7 linked regions of the Cricetulus griseus genome follow. The protein of the gene in region 1 purifies or fractionates together with the protein of each later gene. This does not show direct contact. Links are inferred from orthologs where the notes say so. Each region holds a gene or a part of one and is shown on either strand. Other genes may lie near its edges.

What was found.
Region 2: the proteins of Eif3b (region 1) and Eif3g purify together in Homo sapiens (affinity purification with mass spectrometry; 12 studies listed by BioGRID and IntAct, counting the BioPlex papers as one, with this or other methods). This does not show direct contact. The link is inferred for Cricetulus griseus from reciprocal best matches to the Homo sapiens genes EIF3B and EIF3G.
Region 3: the proteins of Eif3b (region 1) and Eif3k purify together in Homo sapiens (affinity purification with mass spectrometry; 7 studies listed by BioGRID and IntAct, with this or other methods). This does not show direct contact. The link is inferred for Cricetulus griseus from reciprocal best matches to the Homo sapiens genes EIF3B and EIF3K.
Region 4: the proteins of Eif3b (region 1) and Eif4e purify together in Homo sapiens (affinity purification with western blotting; 5 studies listed by BioGRID and IntAct, with this or other methods). This does not show direct contact. The link is inferred for Cricetulus griseus from reciprocal best matches to the Homo sapiens genes EIF3B and EIF4E.
Region 5: the proteins of Eif3b (region 1) and Eif4g1 purify together in Homo sapiens (affinity purification with western blotting; 7 studies listed by BioGRID and IntAct, with this or other methods). This does not show direct contact. The link is inferred for Cricetulus griseus from reciprocal best matches to the Homo sapiens genes EIF3B and EIF4G1.
Region 6: the proteins of Eif3b (region 1) and Eif3d purify together in Homo sapiens (affinity purification with mass spectrometry; 10 studies listed by BioGRID and IntAct, with this or other methods). This does not show direct contact. The link is inferred for Cricetulus griseus from reciprocal best matches to the Homo sapiens genes EIF3B and EIF3D.
Region 7: the proteins of Eif3b (region 1) and Eif4g3 purify together in Homo sapiens (affinity purification with mass spectrometry; 3 studies listed by BioGRID and IntAct, with this or other methods). This does not show direct contact. The link is inferred for Cricetulus griseus from reciprocal best matches to the Homo sapiens genes EIF3B and EIF4G3.

The regions. Positions count from the first base shown.
Region 1 is NC_048597.1:77,058,642-77,062,141, forward strand, and holds part of Eif3b (eukaryotic translation initiation factor 3 subunit B), read left to right. Parts: intron 1-869; coding exon 870-989; intron 990-1,212; coding exon 1,213-1,270; intron 1,271-1,432; coding exon 1,433-1,561; intron 1,562-1,767; coding exon 1,768-1,925; intron 1,926-3,500.
Region 2 is NC_048597.1:133,768,270-133,772,317, reverse strand, and holds the start of Eif3g (eukaryotic translation initiation factor 3 subunit G), read left to right. Parts: upstream 1-1,248; 5' UTR 1,249-1,339; coding exon 1,340-1,359; intron 1,360-1,475; coding exon 1,476-1,522; intron 1,523-1,714; coding exon 1,715-1,798; intron 1,799-1,902; coding exon 1,903-1,991; intron 1,992-2,113; coding exon 2,114-2,173; intron 2,174-4,048. UniProt on the Homo sapiens protein: RNA-binding component of the eukaryotic translation initiation factor 3 (eIF-3) complex, which is required for several steps in the initiation of protein synthesis.
Region 3 is NC_048602.1:6,869,409-6,873,400, forward strand, and holds the start of Eif3k (eukaryotic translation initiation factor 3 subunit K), read left to right. Parts: upstream 1-1,192; 5' UTR 1,193-1,305; coding exon 1,306-1,364; intron 1,365-1,439; exon of another isoform or gene 1,440-1,552; intron 1,553-3,036; coding exon 3,037-3,135; intron 3,136-3,710; coding exon 3,711-3,831; intron 3,832-3,992. UniProt on the Homo sapiens protein: Component of the eukaryotic translation initiation factor 3 (eIF-3) complex, which is required for several steps in the initiation of protein synthesis.
Region 4 is NW_023276806.1:21,031,942-21,035,441, reverse strand, and holds part of Eif4e (eukaryotic translation initiation factor 4E), read left to right. Parts: intron 1-1,439; coding exon 1,440-1,546; intron 1,547-3,500. UniProt on the Homo sapiens protein: Acts in the cytoplasm to initiate and regulate protein synthesis and is required in the nucleus for export of a subset of mRNAs from the nucleus to the cytoplasm which promotes processes such as RNA capping, processing and splicing.
Region 5 is NC_048597.1:67,966,473-67,969,972, forward strand, and holds part of Eif4g1 (eukaryotic translation initiation factor 4 gamma 1), read right to left. Parts: intron 2,743-3,500; coding exon 2,506-2,742; intron 2,361-2,505; coding exon 2,256-2,360; intron 2,155-2,255; coding exon 1,995-2,154; intron 1,932-1,994; exon of another isoform or gene 1,857-1,931; intron 1,776-1,856; coding exon 1,675-1,775; intron 1,150-1,674; coding exon 1,047-1,149; intron 792-1,046; coding exon 689-791; intron 481-688; coding exon 254-480; intron 121-253; coding exon 2-120; intron 1-1.
Region 6 is NC_048595.1:375,067,495-375,071,776, reverse strand, and holds the start of Eif3d (eukaryotic translation initiation factor 3 subunit D), read left to right. Parts: upstream 1-1,482; 5' UTR 1,483-1,637; intron 1,638-1,753; exon of another isoform or gene 1,754-2,012; intron 2,013-3,021; 5' UTR 3,022-3,031; coding exon 3,032-3,154; intron 3,155-3,387; coding exon 3,388-3,433; intron 3,434-4,282. UniProt on the Homo sapiens protein: mRNA cap-binding component of the eukaryotic translation initiation factor 3 (eIF-3) complex, a complex required for several steps in the initiation of protein synthesis of a specialized repertoire of mRNAs.
Region 7 is NC_048595.1:15,353,412-15,357,410, reverse strand, and holds the start of Eif4g3 (eukaryotic translation initiation factor 4 gamma 3), read left to right. Parts: upstream 1-1,199; 5' UTR 1,200-1,523; intron 1,524-1,575; exon of another isoform or gene 1,576-1,918; coding exon of another isoform or gene 1,919-1,960; intron 1,961-3,999. UniProt on the Homo sapiens protein: Component of the protein complex eIF4F, which is involved in the recognition of the mRNA cap, ATP-dependent unwinding of 5'-terminal secondary structure and recruitment of mRNA to the ribosome. Functional homolog of EIF4G1.

The sequences.
Region 1 (3,500 bases):
ACCACATGTGTACTTAGTCTTCTCAGAAGCCAGAGAGAGTGATCATTTGATCCCTGGAACTGGAATTACAGACAGTTGTGAACCACCATGTGAATGGGTGCTGAGCTCACTGCAAGAGCAGCCAATGGCCTTTTTTAGTTTTGTTGAAAGTCTCACTATGTAGCCTTGGCTGGCCTGACACTCACAGTTCTGCCTGCCTCTGCTTCCTAGCTTTGGGATTAAAGATGTGGGCCACCTGGCGTGGTTAAGAGCTAGTGCTCTTAATTGTTGCTGAGCCATTTGGTTGAAGGGTAATCTCTTTGACTGACAGTTACTTGCTGTGTTAGGTGTTTATCTGTAACGAAGCTTCCCCTAAAATCCTGTGTAATTTTCCTGTGATGTGTAATAGTGACTCTTAATGAGGTCATTGCTGACCAGAAACATTGCATATGTGAAATGGACACTTTGCTAGGTTTTGACATACGTTCATCACGGGGCTGTCATGGGATAATGACTATTTCTGTTAAACTTTTCTGTCATTTATAACCACGAAGTCACAGTTTTGAGATGTTTCTAAGCTGGGCAGTGGTGGCACACACCTTTAATTCTAGCACTCAGGAGGCAGAGGCAGATGGACCTCTGTGAGTTTGAGGCCTGCCTGATCTACAGAGCGAGTTCCAGGACAGGCTCCAAAGCTACTCTAAGAGATGTTTCTATTAGGATTTCATTCTTTAGGAAACTGCGTTGCCTGCATGTACTCTGGTCCTCAAAGTAACTGACCATCTTGGGGAGGCTGCAGAACAGCTAGGACCTCAGTTCGTTTAGAAAGGTCTCAGTATACAATAAGTTTTAAAGGTGCACATGTGCAAGCTGTTTGCCTTCTTGCTCAGGTACATCTTTCTGGAATATGCTTCTCCTGCTCATGCTGTGGATGCTGTGAAAAACGCTGATGGATACAAGCTGGACAAGCAGCACACGTTCCGGGTCAACCTCTTCACTGATTTTGATAAGTGAGTTGGAGCCTGAGATCTGTGGTTGATTCCTGTGGGTGATGGGGAGTTCGTCAGTGGGTGCTGGTAGCCTTTGAGGTGATTCACTTCTGTTGGCCAAACAAGAGCATTTCAAGTTTCTGCTTTGGGCTTGGGGTAGGTGGAGAGGGTACAGTGCTGCCTGGTCATGGGCCCCCTCACCCCATCCAGCTTGTGCCACTCAGCAGTGCCTATTCTGTTGCAGGTACATGACGATCAGTGATGAGTGGGACATTCCAGAGAAACAGCCTTTCAAAGACCTGGTATGTGCTGTAAAACCTCTGCTTTTGTAGTAAGGAGAAATTTCATAACTTGAGGTTAAAAGGTGTCTGTTGAACTTGTCATCTGTCAAAGTGTGATAGTGTCAGCTTTCTTTGAATAAAATTAATTCAGTGCACTAAATCCCTTGATTTTGATATTTTTAGGGGAATTTGCGTTACTGGTTGGAAGAGGCAGAGTGTAGAGATCAATACAGTGTAATTTTTGAGAGTGGAGACCGGACATCCATCTTCCGGAATGACGTCAAAGATCCAGTCTCAATTGAAGAAAGAGCGGTGTGTACTAGCAGCTGTGTGACCTCTTGTCTCATTACAGCAGGGCTGGTTTCTGCCCGAAGGAGCAGGTGAAGGCTCTTGTTCTCTGAGGCACTTTGAGAACAGCGTGGAAACAGATTCTGAAAAAAAGAGAAGATGCTTTGTAGAAGGAAGGGTCACTGTGCTTGGCTTTTTGTCATTTTAACGCTGGTCCTTCCTTCTTACAGAGATGGACAGAGACTTATGTGCGCTGGTCCCCTAAGGGCACCTACCTGGCCACTTTTCATCAGCGGGGCATTGCCCTCTGGGGAGGGGAGAAGTTCAAGCAGATTCAGAGGTTTAGCCACCAAGGCGTGCAGCTTATCGACTTCTCTCCATGTGAAAGGTGAGTGACTCAAGCTCTCCTCTTGTTGGCCTCCTCAGGTGACTTGTAGTCTCAGACTTCACAGAAAAATTCCAGAAAGAAGCCAGAGAACTCGCCAGGCTGGCCTTTAATCCCAGCACTCGTGAGGCAGAGGCAGGCGGATCTCTGTGAGTTTGGGGCCAGCCTGGTCTCCAGATCAAGTGCCAGGATAGGCTCCAAAGCTACATTTTGCTTGCTGAGGTGTGGCCCAGCGTCTCTGCCACTGAGCTACATCCTCCCCAGCCCCATAAAACTGAGCAACTGAGCTGGGGATAATTCCCTTACATGGTTTCACCTTTCTGGGCTGCAGTGACAGAGTCCCACAGCAAGAAAATTGTCTGTATCGTATCGTGAATCTTAGGAGAGAGCCCATGCAGACAGAACTCGCTATAGTATGTGTTTATAATGGTTGCATTCTGTTCTCTTTGGTCTCTTAACTCTGCTTAACACATACTTATGGGTATGTGTATATGTACGTATAAGGAAAAATACTCACTGGACTTGGTACTGGGAGATTGTGGAATGTATCCTTCAGGTAAAGTGGACCCTTCAAGGTGAACCACATGTGCTCATTTCCAAGGGCACATCCACCACATAACCACCGTGTGTATTTTGTGATGCCTTAGTTCTAGGTAAGGCACCATGCCTGCATTAATATTTGGTGCCACAATGTCACACAGATTAGTTCTTATTCTAGTTCAGGGACTAGACATTTTTCCTAGAAGGGTTTCTTTCCCTTTTCTGAATTGGTCATGGAAAGAGACACTTGTGAAAAGTGGAGCTGGAGGAAAGCTAGAGGAGCCCACATGCCACGCACACCTAGAATCCCTGCACTTGGGAAATAGAGGCAAAAGGATTGGGAGTTCAAGGCCAACTGGTCTACATGAGACTCTATTAACAAAAAACAACAAAAATATATACTAGTTACCTGCCTTAAATTATTCCTTTTTTTTCTTTCTTTCTTTCTTTCTTTCATTTATTTATTTATTTATTTATTTTCTGTTTTTTACAAGGCGGTTTTTTTGTGTGGCTTTGGAGCCTATTCTGGCACTCACTCTGTAGATTAGGCTGGCCTCAAACTCACAGAGATCCACCTGCCTCTGCCTGCTGAGTGCTGAGATTAAAGGTGTGCGCTACCAACACCCAGAAAATTATTTCTTATTTACGTCAAAAACAAAAGGTTTATGATTCTGTAACTTAAAAGTGCCTTCCTGTTGGGCTGGAGAGATGGCTCAGTGGTTAAGAGCACTGACTGCTCTTCCAGAGGTTCTAAGTTCAATTCCCAGCAACCACATGGTGGCTCACAACCATTTGTAATGAGATCTGATGCCCACAGAACACTGTATACATAATAAATCTTTAAGAAAGAAAAAAAAAGTGCCTCCCTGCATAGACAAAGGTTGTTACATCCACTGATGCATGTTGGCCCCAGTCCTATGTCCCGTAGCTGTCATTCCCTTCACTCGGAACAATCCTTTCTTCTCTTTGTGCTGCTCTCATAGAGTGCCCTTTAATTCTTAACCACTTCACCTGTCTGGTACAAGAGAGTCCATTCCA
Region 2 (4,048 bases), about 57 Mb from region 1:
AACTCAGAGACCCACCTGTCTCTGCCTCCACAAGTGCTGGGATTAAAGGTATGCACTCCTGCACACGCACGCGCGCGCGCGCGCATACACACACACACACACACACACACACACACACACACACACGGCTCCATAATACAAATTCTACGTGCTGGAAATATAGGTCATCACAAGTGCGCCCAGCGTGTGCTTTCCATCTGCACTAGCAACCCAAACTAAGAAAGAACTTCTTGGAATGCATGTTCCCAGAGGCTGAGAATCAAGTAAAGGAAGATTATACCAGAGTTCTAGGGGGTGTAGCTCTGAGGAAGGAGAAAAGCTTAGTATGGGAAATAGTTTAAGATGACACTGGTAGGAACCCATTTCACATAGAGGAATATTCCCTGAGCCTAGACACACGGGGGAGGGCCTACGTCCTATCCCAAAGGATATGACAAACTGATGACCCCCCCCTATGGAAGGCCTCACCCTCCCTGGGGAGCAGAAAGGGCATGGGATAGGTAGGGTGTTACTTGGGGGAGGGAGGCAGAGGAGGAGGGGAGGGAGAGGGAACTGGGATTAACATGTAAAACAATGTTGTTGCTTTCTTCCTTTTTTTTGGGGGGGGGTTCGAGACAGGGTTTCTCTGTGTAGCTTTGGAGCCTGTCCTGGCATTCGCTCTGGAGACCAGGCTGACCTCGAACTCAGAGATCTGTGCCTCTGCCTTCCGAGTGCTGGGATTAAAGGCGTGTGTCACCAACGCCCGGCCTTTTTTGGTGTTTTTTATTTTTGTTTTGTTTTGTTGACAATGTTGTTTCTAATTCAAATAAAAAACGGAGGAAAAAAAAAAGATGACACCGGTAGAACTTGCAAGATGTCTTTGCAGCTAAGAAGGCTGACTGCCAAGCCTGAAGACCTGGGCTCAGTCCACAAGAGAATAAACTGGGGAGATTGCTATGAGTGCAAACCCAGCCTTCGGTACATCAGTGCGTGGTGCTCATGCCTATAATTTCAGCCCTTCGGAGGTTGAGGCAGGAGGATTGTCGGGAATTGCTGGTTATCCTAGCTACAGAGTGATACAGTGACTTCTAATCCCATCACTCCCCCCCAAAAAAACAATAAATTAAGTGGGTGCGGAGAGTTTAAGAAGTTCTGGACGGTCTCTCTGGGACCTCCTTCCAGCTTGGGTCCCCGTACTTCGCTGCACACGAGAGTCGCGTGTCCGCCTTCGTCCATAGGGAGGCGCTGTGCTCGCCGCGGTCTGGCCGCTCTAGGCTGCAGGGGCGGCACCGGAAGCCTCGTTCTCCCCGGGCTTCCGCTCTCTACCCGGGCTGGGAGCTGCGTGGAGCTAGACTTCGCGATGCCGACGGGCGACTTTGAGTGAGGACGGGGCGGTGGCGGGCTCTCCAGAGAGGCGGTGTGGGGCAGCGCTGGGTGTGTGGTGATCCGGGCGGCGCGGGGGTCGGGACCCGCTCACCCTTCTCGTGTCTCCGCAGCTCGAAGCCCAGCTGGGCCGACCAGGTGGAAGAGGAGGGCGAGGACGGTGAGTGCGCGTGTGCGTGTGAGTGAGTGCGTGAGTGCGTGCGTGTGAGTGCCTGTGCGCGGCCCTCCGCGCCCTGTCCCGGGGCGGGCCGAGCCCCCGGAGTCCCCAAACCCACCCACACCTTGGCCTGGACGTCCCAGCCGTGTGTTTCACTTTCCGTCCCCCCCGCCGCCCCCGCATTGCCTCTGACAGACAAGTGTGTCACCAGCGAGCTCCTGAAGGGAATCCCTCTGCCCACCGGGGACACCAGTCCAGAGCCGGAGCTACTGCCCGGAGGTGAGCCCCGTCCAGCCCTGCCGTCCCCTCCCCCTTCCGGCCCTCGAGCCCGTTCCCAGCAAGTCCCCGTTATCCAGGACTCAGTTCCTGTTGTCTTCCCACAGAGCCACTGCCACCTCCCAAGGAAGTCATCAACGGGAACGTAAAGACTGTGACCGAGTACAAGGTAGATGAAGATGGCAAGAAGTTCAAGGTGAGGCCGAGGTGGCCGCGGGGGCGCTTGGATTGGCGATGAGGGCTGTGAGTGTTGGTTTGGATTGGTGAGGAAGGAAGGCCTTGAGGTTCTGGAAGTCCTTTCTCCCTTTCCATCTTCAGATTGTCAGGACCTTCAGGATTGAGACCCGGAAGGCATCGAAGGCTGTGGCCAGGAGGAAGGTGAGGCCCTCCCATCTGACTCACTTTGGTGTGTGTATGCGGAGGGGTCTCCAGGACTGGCCCAGAGGAGTTGGGAAGTCCTTTCCTGTTGATGTAGAATTAAAAATTTAGTGTCAGGCCCTGGAAATTCAGGGTCCAGGAGTAGTTGAGGTTAGATTTTTTTCCCCCCTTTTGTGTGCTCCTGTGTACAGTGTCATTCCTCCAGCAAATTCCTCTTGCATTGAGATGGGCTTTTGTCATCAGGAATTAGATTTGACTAGCTGGCCACCTATCCCCAGTGAGCCTGTTGTCTCTACCTTTGGAGATAACAATCACATGCTTCTGTGCCCAGCTTTTCATTGTGGGTGCTTGGGATTGGACTTTGATGGGTACTTTTGTGACAAATAATTTGCTAACTGGGACATATCCATCCTCTTGAGTTTTTTGTTTTGTTGTTATTTTTATTTATTTTTTGGTTTTTCGAGACAGGGTTTCTCTGTGTAGCTTTGGAGCCTATCCTGGCACTCGCTCTGGAGACCAGGCTGGCCTCAAACTCAGAGATCCGCCTGCCTCTGCCTCCTGAGTGCTGGGATTAAAGGCGTATGCTACCAACGCCCAGCCTTAATTTATTTATTTTTAAAGATTGATTTATTTGTTTATTATGTATACAGTGTTCTGCCTGCATGTCAGAAGAGGGAACCAAATCTCATTACAGATGGTTGTGAGCCACTATGTGGTTCCTGGGAATTGAACTCAGATCTCTGGAAGAGCACTCAGTGCTCTTAACCTCTGAGCCATCTCTCCAGCCCCATTTGTTGTTATTTTTGAGAGGCTCTTGCTGTGTAGTATTCAGATTCTAAATGCTTCTGCCTAGCCTCCTGGGTCCTGACTTAGATTCTTACTCCTTTGCTCTGTCTACTTGAAGGAACAAGCAGCCTCTACTGAGCAAGGGGCAAGGGCTTCTGGAGGAAGGACATCAACACATTGAGAGCAAGGCTCCATGCCAGGCATTTAGCAAGACATGGCTTCCCAACCTCTAGATCAGGCTAGGGAGGCAGGGAGCTTTGTGGTCCCATTTAACTAGCTTAAGGTTCCTGTGATCTGAGTGACTCTTGGACATCCTCCAGCTTCCTCCCTGGTGGGAGCCCGCCCTGCACCTGCCTAGAAACTTCAGTGGCACAGTTGTGTGCCATTCTACTCTGAGTCTCCTTGCTGTTTCCTGGAGTTTTTTTTTTGCTTCTCTCCTTATGGGGTGTGTGTGGGGGGGGGTAGGTGTGTGGGTGTGTCTCGGGGTCATGAATGGCTGTATATTCACACTCAGACTAGAGGAGGAGATTGGGTGACTTGCTCTGTCATGTCACTTTACAACTTATTCTCTTTAGATAGGGTCCCCTGCCCCTGGGCTATATTTAACTCTTTGGTTTGTTTGTTTTTTGTTTTTCAAGACAGGGTTTCTCTGTGTAGCTATGGAGGCTGTCTTGGCACTGGCTCTGGAGACCAGGCTGACCTTGAACTCACATAGATCTGCCTGCCTCTGCCTCCCAAGTGCTGGGATTAAAAATGTGTGCCGCTACCACCTGGCTCATACTTTCTATATGAGAGTTTTGGGTTCTTTCATGTACAATAACCGGTTTTACACACGGAACCACCTCACCAACACCCTCCCCCCTTCTCCCCCACTCCTTTGTTTTGGCCTCATACAGCAGAGCTCAGGCTGGTTTTGAACTTGTGTATCTCAGGGTGACCTTGAGCTCGGAATCTTCTGTTTCCACCTTTAAGTGTCAGGGTAACAGTTACATTCCACCAAGCCTAGCTTAGGAAATGAGAATTGTCACCATTATCACATGGGAGGCCTCTGGGGACACGAGAATGTAGGATTTAAGGCTCTGACGGGGT
Region 3 (3,992 bases), on another chromosome or scaffold:
AGTCGCTGCAATAGGTCATAGTGTTCTCGGGGGTCCTTATTAAAGATGTCGGGGTCAACAAGGGCCATCCCTGGAGCCCGGGGCTGGGCCGGTGCCCAGGGGCCAGCAGGGCCTCAGGGCTCGAGCTTTGGTATCACCCTCTGTCTCCACAAGTCCTGGGCCCGCCTTGAACTCTGCGGGCTGTGGCCTTCCCCCTCCCCACTCTCGCTTCCTGCCCCAGCTGCGAGGCTGTGCAGAGGGCTCCACCCCTGTCCCTAGGGTTCTGAAAGCCTGATTGCCTTGGGACTGGTGGGACTCCCCTTTGCCCCCTCAAGTGCACTATGTAAATAAGATGCAAAAGACCTTAATTGCAACCTGGGGCTGACCTAGCACCCTCTTCCCAGCTCTCCTGTTCTGGGAGGAGTCAGTCACACGTTACAGTTGAACCTCTGCTAGGCACTTGAAGACTTGGAGCCAAGCCAGAGGCTGCAGGTCTGCACACCGAGCTACCTAAGCGCCACACAGGCCTGTTTTCCTCAGGCCACTCAGGTGACAGCTCCTGCACGCCTGCGACAGGGCCCGTGAGGCGCACATGTCTTGGGTTCCCGTGTGTACCAATGGGAAGGCGCTCGGGGCAGCTGCCCACGTGGCACACACTGGTGCATCGAGCCTCAAGCACGCGGAGTCTGGGGCAGACACGGGGCGCTTGTTAGTGGCCCCCATCGGGAGCCCGATGGGGAGAGACTCCAGGGTGGCAAGCGCAGCAGCCGTTCGCTGTGCTCCCCGGTGGCACCACGGATCGGGGATTTAATAGTGAGTTAGGGTACTGGACGCCATTTCAGGGGGGCAAGACGGGCTTCAGAGAGCACCTCGCCCCCGTCCGAGCGCAAAGTGGGCGCCGCTGCGTCCCCTGGCGCGGCTATTTGCGCTTAGGGCTACGCAAGCGCCGGCGCGCCCGCCCGGAACCCCAGCGTTCGGCTCTAGGTTTCCGCGGCCCGGGAACGGGCTCGGCCCCGCCTCCCGGCGCCTGCGTAGTACGGCGGACGAAACCTTTTCTCACGCCGTCGGGTCCATTCACGCCCGACCCGGCGGCGGCGGCGGCGGCGGCTGCGGAGGAATCACGTGCTAGCCGGAAAGCCGAGGCGGCTGCCGGAAGCTCCTTTCCCTTCGCCTTCCCCGAGGCCGCGGGAGACAGGGCGTGACGTGTTTCCGCTTCCCGTGCTCCCTTTCTCTTCCTTCCGGCCCTCGGGTGCGGTGCGGTGCGGTGCGGCGCGCCGGGGCCTTGGGGTTCGACTCCGGCGGGGGCCGCGGAAGCTGACGGAGGTCATGGCGATGTTTGAGCAGATGAGAGCGAACGTGGGCAAGTTGCTCAAGGGTATCGACAGGTCCGAGCTCGGCTGCAGGGCGCGCTCTGGCCAAGCGGGGTGGAGAAGACGGGGAGCCAGCAGGGGTGGTGGCCTGGGCTCCACGCTCGGCCAAGTCTCACCTCCGTCCCTTTTATTGTCACCGCCGCCTCAGGCTCTCGGGGCCTCTCAGGCTCTCTCCTCCCTGCTCTTCTTGCCAGCCATCAAACGTAAGGGTCCCTGGTGTCTGCCAGGCCGCTGGGAACCGGAGGTGATGGGGACAGCCACCGGTCCCGCTTCCCCGGACTTAGGTCCCCGCTCCAACCGGGCGACAACCCCGCTCAACAGAAAGTAGTGACAGCAGGGGACGGATGTAGGAGAATGAGAAGCGGAGAAGAGGAGGGGTGAGGCGGACATGAGGGAGCAGAAAGGTAGAGTCAGATGAAGAATAGAAGATAACAAGAAAGGAGACACCATAATAGAGGGAGACATTTTAGGTTTACAGAGAAATCGGGCACTAGGGAAATGTCTGGAGATCTACAAAGATGACATCAGCTAACAATCTAAGCAACAGAGGAGAGGCTACCTTAAATGCCCTGATAATGAGATTGATGACTGACTTATATGCCACCCGATAGCCCTCATCCAGCAGCTGGTGGAAGTAGAAACGACACCCACAACTTATCACTGAACTGCACTGGAACCCAGATGCAGAGAAGGACGAGTGATGAGCAAAGGGGTCCAGACCAGGCTGGCAAAACCCACAGAACATCGGGGAGGTCTTGTTCCCCAGACTGATAGCTGGGATATCAGCATAGGACTGATCCAGACCCCAGGAACATGGGTTTCAGTGAGGAAACCTTGGAAATCTACGGGACCTCCTGTCGTAGTTCAGTACTTATCCCTAGCATAGGTGTGGACTTTGGGAGCGCATCCCACATAGAGGGACACTCCCTGAGCCAAGACACAAGGGGGTGGGCCTAGGCCCTATCCCAAAGGATATGATAGACTCTGATGGCCTCACCCTCCCTGGGAAGCAGAAAGAATATGTCATAGCTGGGGTAGGGGAGGGAGAGGGAACTGGGATTGACATGTAAAACAATCTTGTTCTAATTCAAATAAAAAAGAAAGAAAGTAGTGACAGCAAGGAGCAATCAGGGCCAGGCCAGAGCCAAGCCGAGTATTAACCTAGGCAGAATAGAACTGAGTCAGGAGTTCCCAGAGGATACTGGTAGATGTTCAGGAAGTCACATATACAGGCAGCAGAGACTGGCTAAGGTTGGACGCACCCTAAACACGGCCCAGGGCTCCAGTAGGGCTGAGTTGTGAGCAGGGTTTATTGGAGAAGGTACAGTTGGTCAGTTCTCTGGGTATATCTAGTGGATAAGACTAGCTTTATTATTTATTGTTAAATCGAATGGGAAAGAATTTTTAAAAAGGTAATACAGGGAGGAAGACCCCGGGGCCAGATTTAAAGCTGTAGGAAGGAAGAGAGTGATTTCAGGTTACAATAGTAGCCCTATATTGGGACTGGCCTCCTCCTTCTCTCTGTTTACCCATATCTATTTGTCACGTTATCTCCCTCTTTCCTTTTGAGGAAGGTTTTCACTATAAAGTCCATCTTCTGTCCATCCTCATCCTGTGTGTCTGTACACCCCCCCCCCCCATGAAATGCATGCCAGGTGGCTCACGAATCATCATGATTCCCTTCCAGGTACAATCCTGAGAACCTGGCGACGCTGGAGCGGTATGTGGAAACCCAAGCCAAGGAGAATGCTTATGATCTGGAGGCCAACCTAGCTGTCCTGAAATTGTGAGTGTCTGTCCCCTCTCCACCCTCATGCCAGCTGCTAGCTAGCAGGATGCCACTCTGGATAGGGACCTGGCTGCCGATGTACCCATGGCAAGCTGCAGTGTGTGGCTTCTCTTAGGTGTGTAAACCAGGAAGCCAAGAAGGTCAAAACATACAAGATAATCTATAAACAATTCTATTGCTTCACAAATTACTGTAAATGAATATCCCTGTTGCTAGTGCTACTGGCCCTTTGCCACATGCCCTGCCCTACCAAACTCCCACCTTAGGTAACCACTGGGAACTCTTACGTATGGTCTGGCTTTGGGTACTTGCTTGCATCCAGATCAGTTTAGCTCAGACTTGCTTGCTTTGAGCTCAGTTGTAATCATGCAGCACAAGCTCTGTTCCTAGCATCTTCCTGTCAGTGCTGGGTTAGTGGCCTTTTCTTCCAGTGTGTGTGTGAGTGTGTGTAGTGTGTGTACACATGCCTGTGGCCTCAGACTTGCAACCTGCCTGGGTCCCTGGATTGCAGTTGTACGCCACTATAGCCAGTTTTGCAAGATGCCATCATTGCTTTGTCTCATTCTCCTCAGGTACCAGTTCAACCCAGCCTTCTTTCAGACCACGGTTACTGCCCAGATTCTGCTGAAAGCGCTCACCAACCTGCCCCACACTGACTTCACTCTGTGCAAATGTATGATCGACCAGGCACATGTATCCTTCCTTCTGGTGGCATGGGAGAAGGCTGGGGAGCAGGGCAGGTCGGGGCATCCAAAAAAAAAAAAAAACCAGGTGCCTGCTCTGGGCTCAGCTCAATGCTGGGTCAGCCTCAGGTGCTGTGTGATGCTCATGCCTCTCATATGGAGGTCTCGGGA
Region 4 (3,500 bases), on another chromosome or scaffold:
AGCTGGTAGTTAGACTGGGTGTATAATTCAGTGTTGCTTTATACATACAAGGCCTTAGGCTTGATGCTCAATGCTGAAGAGTATATAAGTTCAATAAAAAATATTGTATTGTTGAAGTGCCTGTGTGCGTGCACATACATGTTCGGGCATTTGTTTTAGCTTCTAATGACTGACTTTGGCTATTTTAACTGTTAAGGTCAGTTTTTAGCAGGCTGAGGAACTGCAAAGGGCACAGTGGTGAATGCTTTAAATTATTCCCAGGCTCCTTTTCATAGTTGCAATGACAATATTAATTATGCCTTACCTGTTGAAAATTTTATCACGAAAAATAAAAGACCCAGAGATAGATATTGGGGTTCAGACTTGAAGCTGAAGATTAGAAAAACAAAACAGCCAAGCCATTAGCTGTTACCATTACCTCAGGTTGAATGGGCTGATCCTGCTGCCTTTCCTCAGCGTGACTGTAGAAGTCTGAATGTCTTCCTATCTTCCATGAGGCTGGAGAATGAATGCCTGATACTGAGACCTTGCTCCTGTCTTACATACCTCCCTAATGCTGGGATTAAAAGTGTGTGATCCCAGGTGCTGATATCATCTTTGTGTAAGCTGTTTCTCTTTAGGACTGGATCAATCTTGTGTAGATCTGGGTGGCCTTAGTTTCACAGATCATCTACCTTTAAAGATGTATACCACTACCTCCTAGCTTCTGGGATTAAAGGTGTGTGCCTGGCTTCTATGGCTTGTGGCTGACTTTGCTTTCTGAAACCACAGGCAAGCTTTAATAAATCATAAATAATATATTACCACAGAAAATTCCAAACAGCTGTTGTGTCAAGCAGTGAGTCTGACATGAATTTATGAAGGACTTCTGTACTGCTGGCTTGCTCACTTGAAATGCTGTTTTGTTTGTCTGTTTTTGTTTTTTTCTAATTGTTTTCATTGTATCAACATAGTTGTTATACTTGCAAAATAATAGTTTAAACCTTTCCACAGTCTACCTCCATAATATAGAGTACTGGTTTACCTTTCTTTTTGTGGACCTAGGAATTGAACACACTAAACCGCCCTTCTATAATATTTTAACATATTAAGAAAATTGGGCTATTTTTTTTTCTTTTTTGGTTTTGTTTTGTTTTTGTTTTTTGAGATGGATTCTCGAGCTAGCTTTGGAGGGGCCATTACCTTTATTTATAATCTTTGATGACCTAAAATGTGCAAATAGGGGGGGTGTATCTACAGTTTTATAAAAATCACTTAAATTTGAGAAGCCTTTCTGCTTTAATGAAGAGCTAAAGTGGTCTGGTTGTCCCAGGGGTTGGTCTGTAGTCAATCTTGTGAAATCATCTGCTCTTATTCGTTGTATCAAACTTGCTTATAGTATTGCTGTCCTGGTTTTGTTTAAAGTTTTTTTTAAATCCTACTTTATTATTTTCCACTAGGAAACCACCCCTACTACTAATCCCCCACCTGTGGAAGAGGAAAAAACAGAATCTAATCAGGAGGTTGCCAACCCAGAGCACTATATCAAACACCCTCTACAGAACAGGTAAGCTGCTTTCTGAGAGAGGTAAGAAGGGTGGTGCACAGCTAGGTTTCAACAGAAGGATGAGGTGTGCCTCCTTTTAGATGTATATGCTCAGGTGTCAGCCCACAAAGGATCTTCGCTGAGGAGAAGAGAAGCCTCTGAAGGATATGGTCATGAAGACAGGACAGTGGGGGGCCAAGGGATACAGGAGCAAGACTTACTCAAGGTGTCACAGTCTCCCTTGGGCTGCACACTGAAGTAACTCCTTGCTGACTTCAGCGAAGGCTTTTTGTAAAGTGTAGGTGAAGGAATGAGAGGTTGGAGCATTTGAAAAGTGGATAAGACATATTAGGAAGCAAGAATGGGAAACAAAGGCAGATTGAGAAAGGAGAGAGATGGGGTTTGTGAAGGCTAGAGGAGGTGGCCCATGCAGACCAGGTGGAGGAGGGAGGGGAACTAAGGCAAGTTTTCAAATGAGCGGTGTAACGGAAGATGGGTGGTGGTTTGTTATACCGTTCTCTAGCTTTACCTATGTTTCTGGTTTAGTTACTGGGTTTTCAGATTATGTAATGAAAAACATTTTTATTTTACTGATGGTGGGAAGAAAATGGAAACTTGAAATGTACATGAACCTGGAAAAAAGTAACACTGGAACTGACTTCTGAGGGTCGAGTTCCTTTCTGGTTTCCATATTTGTTTACCAAAAGCAGATCTTTTTTTTTTTTTTTTTTTTTTTAACTGAGTTTATTTGAAAGCCTGCCAGCCTGTTTGTAATTTATTGTCGTATTTCACCATCAAGGGGATAGCATAGTTTTTGCCCTTTTTATGGCATTTTAAAACCCTAACTCTAGGGGTTGATGCTCCATGGTTACAGGCATGAGCTGCTCCTGCAGAGGACTCAGATGGCTTTTCATGACCATCAGTAGCTCCAGTTTCAGGGCATCCAGTCCCACCTTCACTCGTCCATGGACATACACACAGGCCAACACACTCATGTGCATACACAGCTAACACTCCTTTTAGCTGTCTGAACCCAGTTACTGCTTTGCTGTCATTAGGAGGGGAGTAACCCAGCACACCAGACTGCTGAGAAATTTGAGACCATGCAAAAGTGTAAACAGATTTATTCAATCCTCGTGAGATCTCAAGAGATTACAATTTCTCTAAGTTCTAATCTTTTTTTTTTATTTTGCAAAGTATGCCAGTTGGGAAAATACTATAAATGCTATTTGGTACTAAAACCATCACTGACTTTTCGTAAATTTTGTGGTTTCTGTATGTTCTTATAAGCACTTAACAGTTAGAGGATTTAGTAATGAGTGGGGACAGTGTATAAAGGTAGTATGTTTGCCTTCCTCCCCTTTGTTAACGGTGGTGGGGTGCCTTGCAGTGCTGTTGTATGTGCCCACTTGTGCGTGAGCTGTTTGTTATGACCAGATGGGTGCCAGTCTGAAGTGGGAAGTCCGCTTTTCTTACTGTGTGCTTGAGAGCACTTTCATATTCTTTTGGTCACTTGTGGTTTTCTCTTTGGAGAGTCTGTTCTGGGTTTTTACCTATATCTTTTTTTTTTTTTTTCCTTTTGGATTATCTTTCGAGTTGATTTCCAGTTACTCAAATAGCAGGAATAGTAAATCAGCAAATGCAGTTCCAATTTACTTTTATTAGGTTCTTTGGAATTGTATGGGATTGGATTTAAAAATTTTAATATTTATGTAGGCAAATATCATTTTCCCCATGGCTTCTGGATTTCCTGTCAGTCTTAGTACAACTTTACCATGTAGTAATTTTTTTTTAAGATTTTATTTATTTATTATGTATACAACATTCTGCTTCCATGTATACCTGCACACCAGAAGTGGGCACCAGATCTCATAATGGGTGGTTGTGAGCTACCATGTGGTTGCTGGGAATTGAACTCAGGACCTCTGGAAGAGCTGTCAGTGCTCTTAACCTCTGAGCCATCTCTCCAGCCCCC
Region 5 (3,500 bases), about 9.1 Mb from region 1:
CCTTCATGTCATTGAGATGGAGATATTCCTCAATGATGGCCTTAGATTTCTTCTCCACTTCATCCTCAGAGAGTGCAGCCTTTGGAGGGCTCACCGGAGGTAGAGTGGCTTCCCGCTTCACTACAGGAGAAGAACTTTTCAGTTACTCATCTTACAGTCTAGAGCTCTCAAAGAAAGTTGGGGAGCACTCAGTCCCACAGCCCAATAGCCTTTGCCCCCATTCCTCTGCCAGCCTTCCCCCGTTCCTTCTCACCAGGATCCCGACCACGATCTTCTGTGAGGCTGGCTGCCTTGCGCAGTCCCTCGGGCTGGGAAGGCCGCTCTCTACTCCGCTCCTCCACTTCCTTGCTAAAACTTCTCTTGGTGGCTGGTGTTCTGGCACGATCAAGTCGGTCCCCACGGTCACCTCCCCGCTCACTCCGCTCTAGTCGGTCTCCCCGGTCCCCAGCTTTCTCACCTCGTTCCCGGCTTAAGCTACTCCTGAAAGATATGTTGTTTCTCATCTATACTCGCTCAACAACTTTCATGTGACTACCCACCCAACGTGTATGGCAGCTGCTGGGTCTCATTCTTGGCATCAAGGACATGTCCAAGCAATACAGGTATGAGAAATCTCTATGCTATGACAACCAAAACCCAATCGCAGTATTCTATGAGAACAACCACCCCAATGCCCTTAAACATTCACCTCTGTACAACACGCCTGTTATCTGTGTTCTCTGTGGGCAATGCTTGTTGAAGAGCAGAAAAGCGATTCAAGGTACTAGTAGCTGGACGAGTAGCTTCTGACGCTAAGGAGACAGAAAACTGCATTAACCCATTTCTACCCTCCAAGAGCTAGGGTTACAAGAGTGCATCACCATGCCTTGTTCACTACTTTATGCACCCCCTCCATAGTTGGTCGATGTTGACAGGAAGTAGTTCAATCCCTGGCATCATATATGCCTCCTGTACTCATCCCTAATTACTTATTCTGCATTTCCCATGGAAGAAAGGGAGCTGAAAATAGCAACCATCCAGTTTCCTATAGTGGCCTCCTTTCCTACCTGTGTCTGAGGGCTTGGCTCCTGAGCCCCCACTGCTGCCCTTGCCCCAACTCAGTCGTCCTCCTGGTGCAAAGAGCTGGTTGTTGGAATCAATGGATCCAGGCTGCAGAAGGAATAAAGTAGACTCACACTTCTGACCTAGCTTAAGCCCTTAGCCCACACTGAAGGGCTCAACAGGGGGGTGAAGCAAGCTGTTACTATATTTTACTGTATAGTTGGACAGTCAATATTCTAGTGCTTTACAACCTATAGGCTATGGCTACTACTCATTCTGCCAGTACAATGTGAAAATAGTATAATAAAGAATTAACTGTTGTTATATCCCAGTAGTTATTCATAGACAGTGTAATTCAAATTCTACATACTGTAAACACCATAATAAAGTATTGCCCTTTTATTTTTTTCAATCGCTTAAAGTGTAAAAACCATTCTTGGCTTGATTTTGGTGTTGTCAATTTACTAGGACCAATGTGAACAAAACCTGTAGCTGGAGCCCCTTCATTTAACCAGTCTCAAGCAATCTAAATAGTCTAAAAAGAAAATTCAGGCATCACCATCCTAACTGTGGGGACCAATGTATGGTACATCCCTTTTCACCCTCCACCTCACCTTCAGAATACAACCCTACCTTGGTGATCTTGGTGAGCCGTGAGGTATCAATGGGGCGGCTGCCTTTGCTAATGGGGACTGTATTCCAGCCACCATCATCCACAAGTGGAAGGCCACGGCCTGACACAAAAAATAGGGGGTGGGGAGGATGTTAGAATGACAGGTCCTGATAACCCCTCCTTGGGCCACCCTCAGCCTCTCTTCCTCAGATCCTCAATCCCATCATGTGGTCTCAGTGGCCCAGACACGTGGCACTAACAGAAGTCATCAGTGGAGAGCTGGGTACCCTCGTACCCGCCATGAGCTTCACTGTCTCCTTAGCCCTAGCCTCAAACTCACTAATGGGCGGGCCTGGAGGGCCACCCCGACGCTTGTCGCTGCCCTTGGCCATGAGTTGCTGCACTTTGATGTGTTCTCGGTGCTCTTCCATCTCAGCCTCCTTGTGGATCTGATCAATAGTCTTGGGACCCTGATCCCCTCGTCGAGGCACCCAATTGCTCTTTGGAAACAAAATGAAAACAGCAGTTATTCTGTGGTTGGCATGGATCAGACAAGGCAGTGTCAGGAACTAGAGCAGATGAAGTGGGGGAAGAGACACACCTGCCGCAGATCCAATACATCCTGCAACATAAAACGGATTCGAGATGAGGTCTTCTTTTCTTTAATAATTTTTTCCATTTGGTTGAAATACTGATCCATTCGAGGCTAGGAAGCAAAGGACCAAGTCAATCACCTCATACTTCAACTCTCACATTGGCTAAGCAGCCCAGACTCCCTCCCTAGCCTGTATGTTGTCAGCAAACAGGGGGCCCATATGCTTCTCCCGTTCCCCACATCCCAGAACCTCTACCTTGGCTTTTGCAAAGTCCAGGTCTTTGCCAATAGTGGTGAGGAGACGGCAGAGACATTCCAGGGACTCTTCATCATGGTTCTTAAGTAGTTTGACCACACAGTCATGCATTATTGCTTCTGTCAACATCTTCAGTTTGAATAACTCTCCAATGAACTTGATATTCCCTAAAGAGCGCCGTCGAGCTATGTCCCGGGCCTCTTCTAGCTCTTCTTTCAGGCGTCCCCGTTCTTCTGCCTGTCAGTCATAGGACGAAGATTGTTCCAAAAAAATAACCAGCCGGGCGGTGGTGGCACATGCCTTTAATCCCAGCACTCGGGAGGCAGAGGCAGTTGGATCTCTGTGAGTTCAAGGCCAGCCTGGTCTACAGAGTGAGTTCCAGGACAGCCTCCAAAGCCACAGAGAAACCTGTCTCAAAAAACCAAAAAGATAACCAGAGGGCCAGAGAGATGTGTCAGTAGTTAAGGATACTTGTTGCTCTTGCAGAAGACCCGGATTCAGTTCCCAACACCCACGTGGTAGCTCACAACCATCTCTAACTCCAGTTCCAAGGAATCAAGTGCCACTTTCTGGCCTCCTCTGGAACCAGACATGCACACTGTACATACACATACACGCTGGCAAGACATACATATAAAAATAAAGCTAAGCCAGGCAATGGTGGCACACACCTTTGATCCTAGCACTAAGAGGCAGAAGCAGTTGGAGCTCTGAGTTAGAGACCAGCTTGGTCTACAGATCTAGTTCCAGGACAACTAGGGCTGTTACAAAGAGAAACCCTGTCTCAATAAAAGAGCTAAGAGTAAAACAAAAACAAAACAGTTACTTGGCTAAAGCTGCCTTTTCTCTTTTTATCTAGATAGCCAGCCTAGCATTAGGCACACATGTCCTAACGTAAAGAGAGCCCTCAAGATCCTTAATACTATCCCCAGACCTCTAAAGTCAAGCTCTAACTTGTAGGGTAGGGTGGTGAGCACAGAGTGGAATCGGCAATA
Region 6 (4,282 bases), on another chromosome or scaffold:
GAAAGATGATTAAACTCTGACACAGTAGAATCTGCAGCAGATGGCCTCTGGGATCCACAGCAAAAAGGGAAAGAAAAAAAAAAAAAAAAAAAAAAAACACAAAAACAGGAGCGATATGATGGAAGTTCAGCAAAGATACATGTCTCCTTATATTTTATGACACATCTCAATTTTATATTGATTTGGGGTCTTGCTATGGAGCCTAGGCTAGCTTCAGGTTTGCAACAATCCTTGTGCCTCAGGTTCTCAGGTGCGGGGAGTTCAAGGTTAGCCTGGGCAATTTAGTGAGACCCTATTTCAAAAATTTTTTAAACATTTTGGTGTAAGATGGCTCAGTTTTCAAAGACAGTGCCTTTTTCTCAGAACCTTCTCCAACTTCACCAGCTCCTGTCTGGCATTATGATCCATCCTCCTGCCTCAATTTCAGACTAGAGGGATCCCAGGATGCACTGCCATTTCTGGCTAGGAGCCAACTCTTAAAGGCATATGGTGTGGTAGGCCCAACCTTCAGGGCAGAAAGAACAGCAAGTGTAGGACCTGCTGAGAGGGAAATGAGAGCAGGCCACGGTGACCAGAGCAGAGGTTGTACAGAATAATAGGCATCGAAGCGAGAAGGCAGCCAGGGATGTCAGGCCACAGAAAGCTAGTCTACTTTATGTTATGCTTCCCTAGGGAGGTGCTAATTGTGTGGGAAGACGTTTGACCACGCTGAGGAGCAACCCACCAGGAGTATGAATAGATCCAAGCTATGACGGGAGATGGAACTCAAGATGTGTCTGAAATTAAAATAGGCTAGTCATGAAACGAAAGAATATTTATTTATTTATTTATTTATTTATTTATTTATTTTGGTTTTTTGAGGCAGGGTTTCTCTGTGTAGCCCTGACTGTCCTGGAACTCGCTCTGTAGACCAGGCTGGCCTCTGCCTCGTGTGTGCTGCGATTACAGGCGTGCGCCACCACCGCCGGGCCTATTTTGTCTTACTTTCAATGAGCAAACAGAAATCTCCGTTGAAAAATGAGGCTTAAGATCTGTGGAACAAGGGTTTGAGCCCTGGCGGCCATCGCGAAGTTCTAGCAGCCCGGACCACGGTCTCTCGCCACCCCTCACCCTGCAGACAACCGGCACAGGGAACGAGCGAGGACACCTCCAGCGGAGGGCGGTTCAACCCGACCAAAGCCAGACAGGAGCCAGCAAGAGCCGCGGGGCATTGTGGGAGGCAAAGGGGCCGAGGCAGCCGCGAAGCATTGTGGGACACCGCGGGGCCGACTCCTGCTCCCCGCCCCAGCTTCCCTCGCACCGCGCGCCGCCACGTTTCAGTTCTGAATCGCTCGAGGCGTCCGCGGATGCCGCTGACGTAACCAGCCCCACTCCTGTCTCTCACCTCAGAGAATAATGAGGACTAAGCCAGTGGCCGTGACAAACTTCCGGTTGTGTCTTCGCTTTACGGCCCGACGTTTTTCCGCTGACTAAAAAGGAAGTGGTAGCGCCGTTTACGACAGCGCCGGTCGCGGTTTACGGCGCCGGCTCTTGCGCGCGCAACTTTCCTGCTGTCTTGGTTCCTCGGAGAATCGAGAATATCGCAGTCTCTGACCCGTGCCATCTCTCGCCATCCGGGCCTGCGGAGCCCACTGCAGGTGAGCGGCTTGCTTTGCAGAGACCTGTGGACCTCGCGAGCCACCCTGGGCTAGGCCTGGCTTCGGGGGCCTCCCGGAAGAGCCTTCCTTTACGTCCTCTCCTGTCGTCGCCCCAGGGCGGGGCGGGAATCTGCCTTGGGTGGTCCCAGGCGCGACCCTGTTAGTGCAGGACACCCCACACGGTGTGGATCCCTCACCCGATGCTAAGCCCAGAGCCGTGGGGACGAAGTGTCCTCCTCCGGGGGCTTCGAACAGTTTCCGTCTCTGCTCCGAAGTGGGCGACTGAGAGGAGTGTGCTCCACCCTGGTGTGAAACCGAGCCCAGGACTTCGTGGCTCTTGTCTGTAGTGTCCACAGTGATCCGCACCGTATTGTGGTTAGTACAGCTGTCGCATCGTTTTAGTTTTCCCCTATCAGTGACCTTCTGGTTCTCATGTGCGGAAGCCAAAGGACTCCAAACCCCTGCCCATCCGGGGAGATGATGCATGTCAAGTCTTGGACTATCTTGAACTTGTGACAACTAAAATTACAGTTGCTTTTGAGGTGGTATTGTGAGTATGTCTTAAAGGCCCAGGTCGTCAGGCTGTCCCTAACTGCAATGTAGCCAAAGAAGGCCAGGCTTAGGCAGACAGCCTTGGAAACTGCCTTTGAGATGATGGGCAGATGGACTGCTTAAGTTATGAGAGCCAACTTTCTCAGAGATGATGGTTTGAGGAAGCAGTGGTGCCTATCTATCCAGCACAGTTCCAATACTTTGCTGGGGGCTCTTATTTCATGTGAGCTGTTCAAAGGCCACACGCTCCCCCATGTTCTCTTCCTACATACAGCTTAGCATAAGTTCTTATTTGGGGATGCAGGTCCCAAGTTTATTCCTTGTTGCTGTCACCTAAATATCTTAAGCTTTCCTATGGTGGAGCAAGGAGGAGAGATTACTAAACTCTCTGGACATTGTCAGAAGGTAAGACTTAGTCTAGGCTTAGAGACGTTGGGTATTGGGTGCCCAGGTGAGAGTGTTTTTGAGGGAACTCATCTCACTTTTATCATACTTCATGAATCTGAGGTAGCTCTGTCTTATGTTATTCTAAGAAAGAAAAGACAAGATGTGACAGCCATCAAGCATAAGGCATGGCCTCATTTCAAAGATAGTCACCAAAAAAGAGCAAGTCCTAGAATTAATGAGACACAAGAAAATGTGGCTGGTGTCGACAATGTTCTGAGTTTTAAGTGTTCTTAGAGTGGTTTACAAGAAAGCTGTCCCTGCTGCTCCAGAGCCCAGGGCTCTGCGCTTTGTGTGTGCCTCTGTGGTGCAGCTTCAGTGGATCACGGAGTGTTTGGGACTTAGTGGCCTTTCCTTATAAAGCTGTTCACAATGCTTGTGTTTTAAGGTTTTAGACAATGGCGAAGTTCATGACTCCTGTGATCCAGGACAACCCTTCCGGCTGGGGCCCCTGTGCAGTTCCTGAACAGTTTCGGGATATGCCCTACCAGCCTTTCAGCAAAGGAGATCGGCTGGGGAAGGTATTGGGTCCCTTCAGCTGGGGTAGCTACTCCACAGCTCCTCACATCCTTTTTGCTCTCTTGGTGGCTATGCTTCCTTTGGGGACACCAGCCAAAGGCCAGAGCGGGTAGCTGATGCAGAAGCATCAGAGGTGAAGCTGATGACGTGTTCACTCAGCCTCCCTTGCTATCTTGAGTTTCTGAGTCAGCAGAGGCCTGCTCACCTGACCTCTTGTCTTCATCACACCTAACAGGTTGCAGACTGGACGGGGGCCACGTACCAAGACAAGAGGTACACAAGTAAGTATTCTTCAGTGAACTATCCACATTTAGGCCTTGGGAAGATTGTTGCTTTGTTCAGTGAGCTCCACACTGAAAAGGAATGCTGATGATAGTTATTGGGGTATATTTTAAATGTGTGCCCTAATATTGGTTTTGGAAATAGTCCCAGAAGTTAAATTGTTAATTATTATAGGGGTGACAGCCAGACTCCTAGACATGTTGAGTGTGCTGCCGTTTGCATTTATTGCTTGGGACTTCCTGAGGCCATCAGTCAGTGGGCTGCCCCGGTTTTAAGGTTCTGGTAAAGGAACGTGCTTTTTTTTGCACATTAAGAGATTGGGGTGGGGAGAGATGCAGAAGAGGAAGAGAGAGAGTAAAGGGAGAATTACGGGTCAACCATTGGAAACAGAGCGCAGAAAGTGCTTTTCTTGGTGCCAGTTAGATGGTTGGAAGTAACTTCGGGAATACTAAGTTAAGGTGGATGAGGTCAGAAAGAAAGTTTATCATGGTCGATGATAGTGTCCATGGCTCCTGTGATGGCAATGGTGGTACACTCCAGATTCTTAATTGTCCAAGGCAGAGGTGAAGTGGGTTAACTTGAGATGCTTGGGCTCTCTTGGTAAGTTCTTTAGACTCAAGCTCTTAAAACTTAAATGTGTGTATGAATCACCTGGGATCATGTTTAAATACAGGTTCCCATCTGTCAGGTCTGGACAGGGGCAGTAAGTCTGCACACCTCACAAGCTCTTGGCTGTGGTCCCCAAAAGTGCTGCAGGTCCCAAAACCACGCTTGAGAGAGCAAGGCTCAAGACTGCCATGTGTAGCCTTTAGGGAGCACTTAGCACACACTGTCACCTTTGCCTGCAG
Region 7 (3,999 bases), on another chromosome or scaffold:
ATGGGGGTGGGAGGAGGAGACCTTATCAAGTGTCATCCCAGCGAAGGATGATGGGAAGCCCACTACAAGTTGTGGCCACAGGCCCCTCCAGTTTTGGGAAAGACATCCACCCTGCAGAGTCCTGGTCAAAGTTGCTGGTAAGGCAGATCCGTTTGCATCCTAGAAGGCAAGGTTCATCTCAGAGAAGGTGGAATCCAGATTTTGGATTCCCTCCGTTCATTTCCAGCCGGGTGACCTTGGGGAAGTCACTTTTTTTTCTCTGGGCCTCCTCTGCAAATGGGGCTCCTCGTTCCATTTCGCACTTAAGAGCATCCGAGGACGACGTGTCGACATAATGCCCGTGACTTGCGACGTCAAGTGCCGGCGAGTGGCATCTGTTATGTTAATAAGTCCCTGCGGCAGGCGGGTTCCTATCAGTAGCCGTGCGCTCCGGCTTAGCCGGTCCCTCTACAGAGACTCGGTTTCTCGCTCCGGGCGCCTCTGGTAGGTCTCGGCGGACCTCGGCCTCGGGTGCCGTTACTATTGTTCTTCGAGGCTGGGCCGCAGGGGAGGGCTCTCTCCCTTCATACCTCTCCTTTGGTCTCTCCCTCCCCCAGGCACCGTGCCGCGGAGAGCCTCAGCAGCTCCGGATCACCGATCTTCCCCGAGAAATAGTCAGCTCCAGCGGCTCTCCCGAACAGCGGCCGAAGACGCTCCCGAGAGCTCCCGAAGAACCCCGGCCGTTCGCTGTCTCCGGAAAGAGCCGAAGGAGCTTTCCACCCTCGGCCTGCCGAGCCCTTCCGAAAAGGGCCGAAAAGCTCCGAGCGGCCGTCCTGCCGGACTGCTGGAGGCGGCCGCAGCGCCATGTTGGATGCTCTGCTCGTTGAGTGAAGAAAATCCGTCCGCATCGCCCGAGCCCCGCTACCGAGAAGGGCGCCGCTTCCCCCGGGGAGGGGGACAGAGACCCCCCGCCGCCGGCCCATGAGGATATTGCCGTGAAAGGTCCGGTCTCTCCGCCTCCTGCCCCCGCCGGGTCCGGCCCCCCCCTCCCCGGGGTCGCGTTGTCACGGAGACCGGCAGCCGGTGGTGCTGGCCCGCGGGGCGGCTGCTGCTGCCGGCGGCGGCGGCGGCGGAGGCGGCGGCGGCGGGCGGCGGAGGGCGTGTGTGACCGGTCCCGGCCCCCTCCTCCTCCTCCTCCCAGCCTCCCCCCGGCCCCCGCTCCGCCGCCTCCCCGGGTCTGCCCCCATCCCGCCCCTCCGCTGCCCCCGGCCCCTGCACCCCGGCGCGCCCGGTCCCGCTCTGGGGGGGTTGGTGGCTTCGCTTTGCCATGAGTTTACCGCAGAAACCGGCTCTGAAATCAGGCTCAGCGGCTGCAGCAGGAACCGGACCCGGCACCGGAGCGGCGGCGGCAGCGGCGGCGGTACCGCCTCTCACCCGGCGGCGGCGGCGGCGGCAGCGGCGGCGGCGGCGGCGGCAGCAGCAGCGGCAGCGGCGGCCCCTCCTCACCCGAACATCAGGGCCCTCCAGACCCCGGCGCCCCAACAGTATCCTTTTCACCTTCCAGCGGTCCAGAACGACCCGTGGTGGGAGCCTCCCTGCCTGCCGCCACAGCCCAGCAAGGGAAGGGACGGGCAGCCAGCCGCTCCAGCCCGTTGCTCCGGGCTTGGCCCGAGCTTTTGGGGTGCACCGGTGGCAGCATTTGCTGGGACCCCGGGACCCTCTGCGGTACCGTGAACACTAGCTCCCCCGGGTCATGCGTCTGCAGCTCTTGTGGATCTCGGGGAGCCCTGCCCTTGAAGACCCCCTCCCCTTTATTGGGCAGAATTTGCTGGGGCTTGGGACCAGCCCTGCAGGCAAGGCTTTTCTGATTGTTGGGAGGCCCTGCCTTCCTGCGGGGCTCGGTGGCCTCTCTGTTATTTAGAACCCACAGTAAACTTTAATGGTAAATTTCCTGTTCGAAACGAATCAGCTCGTTCCCGAGGTAAGTTGGGTCCTCTGCCTATAGTGCAAGTGTACAGAAAGCACTCCTTCTGGCTATTTTTTTTTTTTTTTTTTAGCAATTAGAGTTGTGTTGTGGTTTGTGGTGGAACCGGCTAAGGAGGAAATGCTACAGTGGACTCTTCCCTGTCTTTGACCTTTTTAAAGGAAGAGGAAGTTAACTCACATTACCCAGCACCCCCAGAAGTGTCACTCCTAAGATTGGTGTTGTGCTAAACGTTTTTTTTCCCCCCCCCAAGGCCTGATGTCTGGAGGGTACCAGGGCTCCCGAGAAAGCTCAAGTATCGAATGTGTTTTAATTTCATGATGTCGAAGTTGGGACAGCTTTGATTGAAAAATCTTGGTGGCCAGGTGTTTTAGTCCGAATAAAACGTTGAAATCACGGCTCCCTCGGAGCTTTAGCAAGGTGTTCCGTTTCTTTTTTCTTTCTTTCTTTCTTTTTTTTTTTTTGTGGCTTTTTCGAGTCGGGGGTTTCTCTGTGTAGCCCTGGCATGTAGACCAGGCTGGCTTCGAACTCAAGAGATTTGCCTGCCTCTGCCTCCGATTAAAAGTATGTGCCACCACCACCTGGCAAGCAAGGTGTTTGTTACCTGAGAGTAACGTTTTATCATTCGTCCCTCCTCCCTACGCCCCTTGTGCTTGTGTGAAAAATCAAACGATCATTGGATGTTCACTTTGCTGTGACTTAACGCGTTTGTCACCCTGCTTTTGACTTTAGACATAGTCGCAGTGTTTGAGCTAGATAGTCTCGGCTGTGAGGGCCGCGGATCATTTCAGTCTAGTTTGATTCTTGTCTGTATTGATTACCTTGAGAAGGGAAAAACACTTCCCTCCTTGGGTCACCTCAGGTCATTGTTTGTTTTCTGTCAAGTGTCCTTTCTGTGTTGTCTCAGTGTTGGTAGTCAACATCTTTCAGTGCTCCAGTGTGGTGTGTGTACTGATTTCATAACGTTTTGACCCTGCACGGTTCTGTTCAGTTAAGCACTCACTGTTGAGAATGTTTAGTGTTTGTGGAAACCCAGTTACTTGTGACCCACATGCACAGCTGCTGGCCTGGGAAGGAGCAGGTTGACTGTTCAGCCTGCTTCAGTGTAGAATTGGGTCGCTTCAGTCTACCAAGCTTCACTTCATACTTAGGAAGGAATTTGAACTAATTTTAGGGTGGTTTTTCTTGATGGTCTGTGCTTGTAGGTTTCTGTCTCGGGACCAAGTGAGTTATTCATTACCTGCCTCTTTGAGGGAGTTAAAGCAGAGGAAGCGTGTAGTGTGGTATGTGCTTGGAGCAGCATACTGAATAGCAAGTGTTGTATCACAGTGTTGTATGTGACAGCCTTTGTTAAAGTTGGTGGCCTCTTTGGATACAAATCTGGGTGACTTGAGTATCCCAAGTGTGCTTTTTCTCTGCACTTCACAGTCCAAGGACTGGAAAAACTTGGAGCTGGTTACAGCTTGGAAGTAGTGACTGGTGTTTTGAGTTAAATTTTTATCTTTTCTTTAAAATAGAAAATGCAGCCATTAAAGATGAGTAAGTTCAAGGTGCTGTTTGCAGAGATCATTTTAGATCCTTCCTGGCAGTGTTGGAGCCTACTGTGTTGCTTTAGGGATGTATTTTGCTCTACGTCTTGGCAGTTGACATTTTACACTTGATGTAGTCTACAATTCCCGCCTGTCACCTGGCAAGATTACATTGCTAAATTGTAAGCATTTTTCTAGATAGTAAGTGAAGCATAGGCTACAGGCTTCTTAGAACACATCAGTGGTACAGTATTGCCAGCTGATGGTGGAAGAGGTCGGAAATGGATTGAAGTAGAGCAATCTGCTTTTCGAGTAGATGGAATGGGGGAATCTGGGTTTGATGCAAGCGCCATCATGCAGTAAGTTGGTGTTGCTCTTTCTGTGGCTTGAGTAGATCTCTAGTTCCTCAAAATTTATGGATCTCTAGTTCCTTAAAATTTATAGGTACAATTGCTTGCTTCAGATTAATTAGCTCAAGCAGTATGTGTGTGTGTATATATATTATAT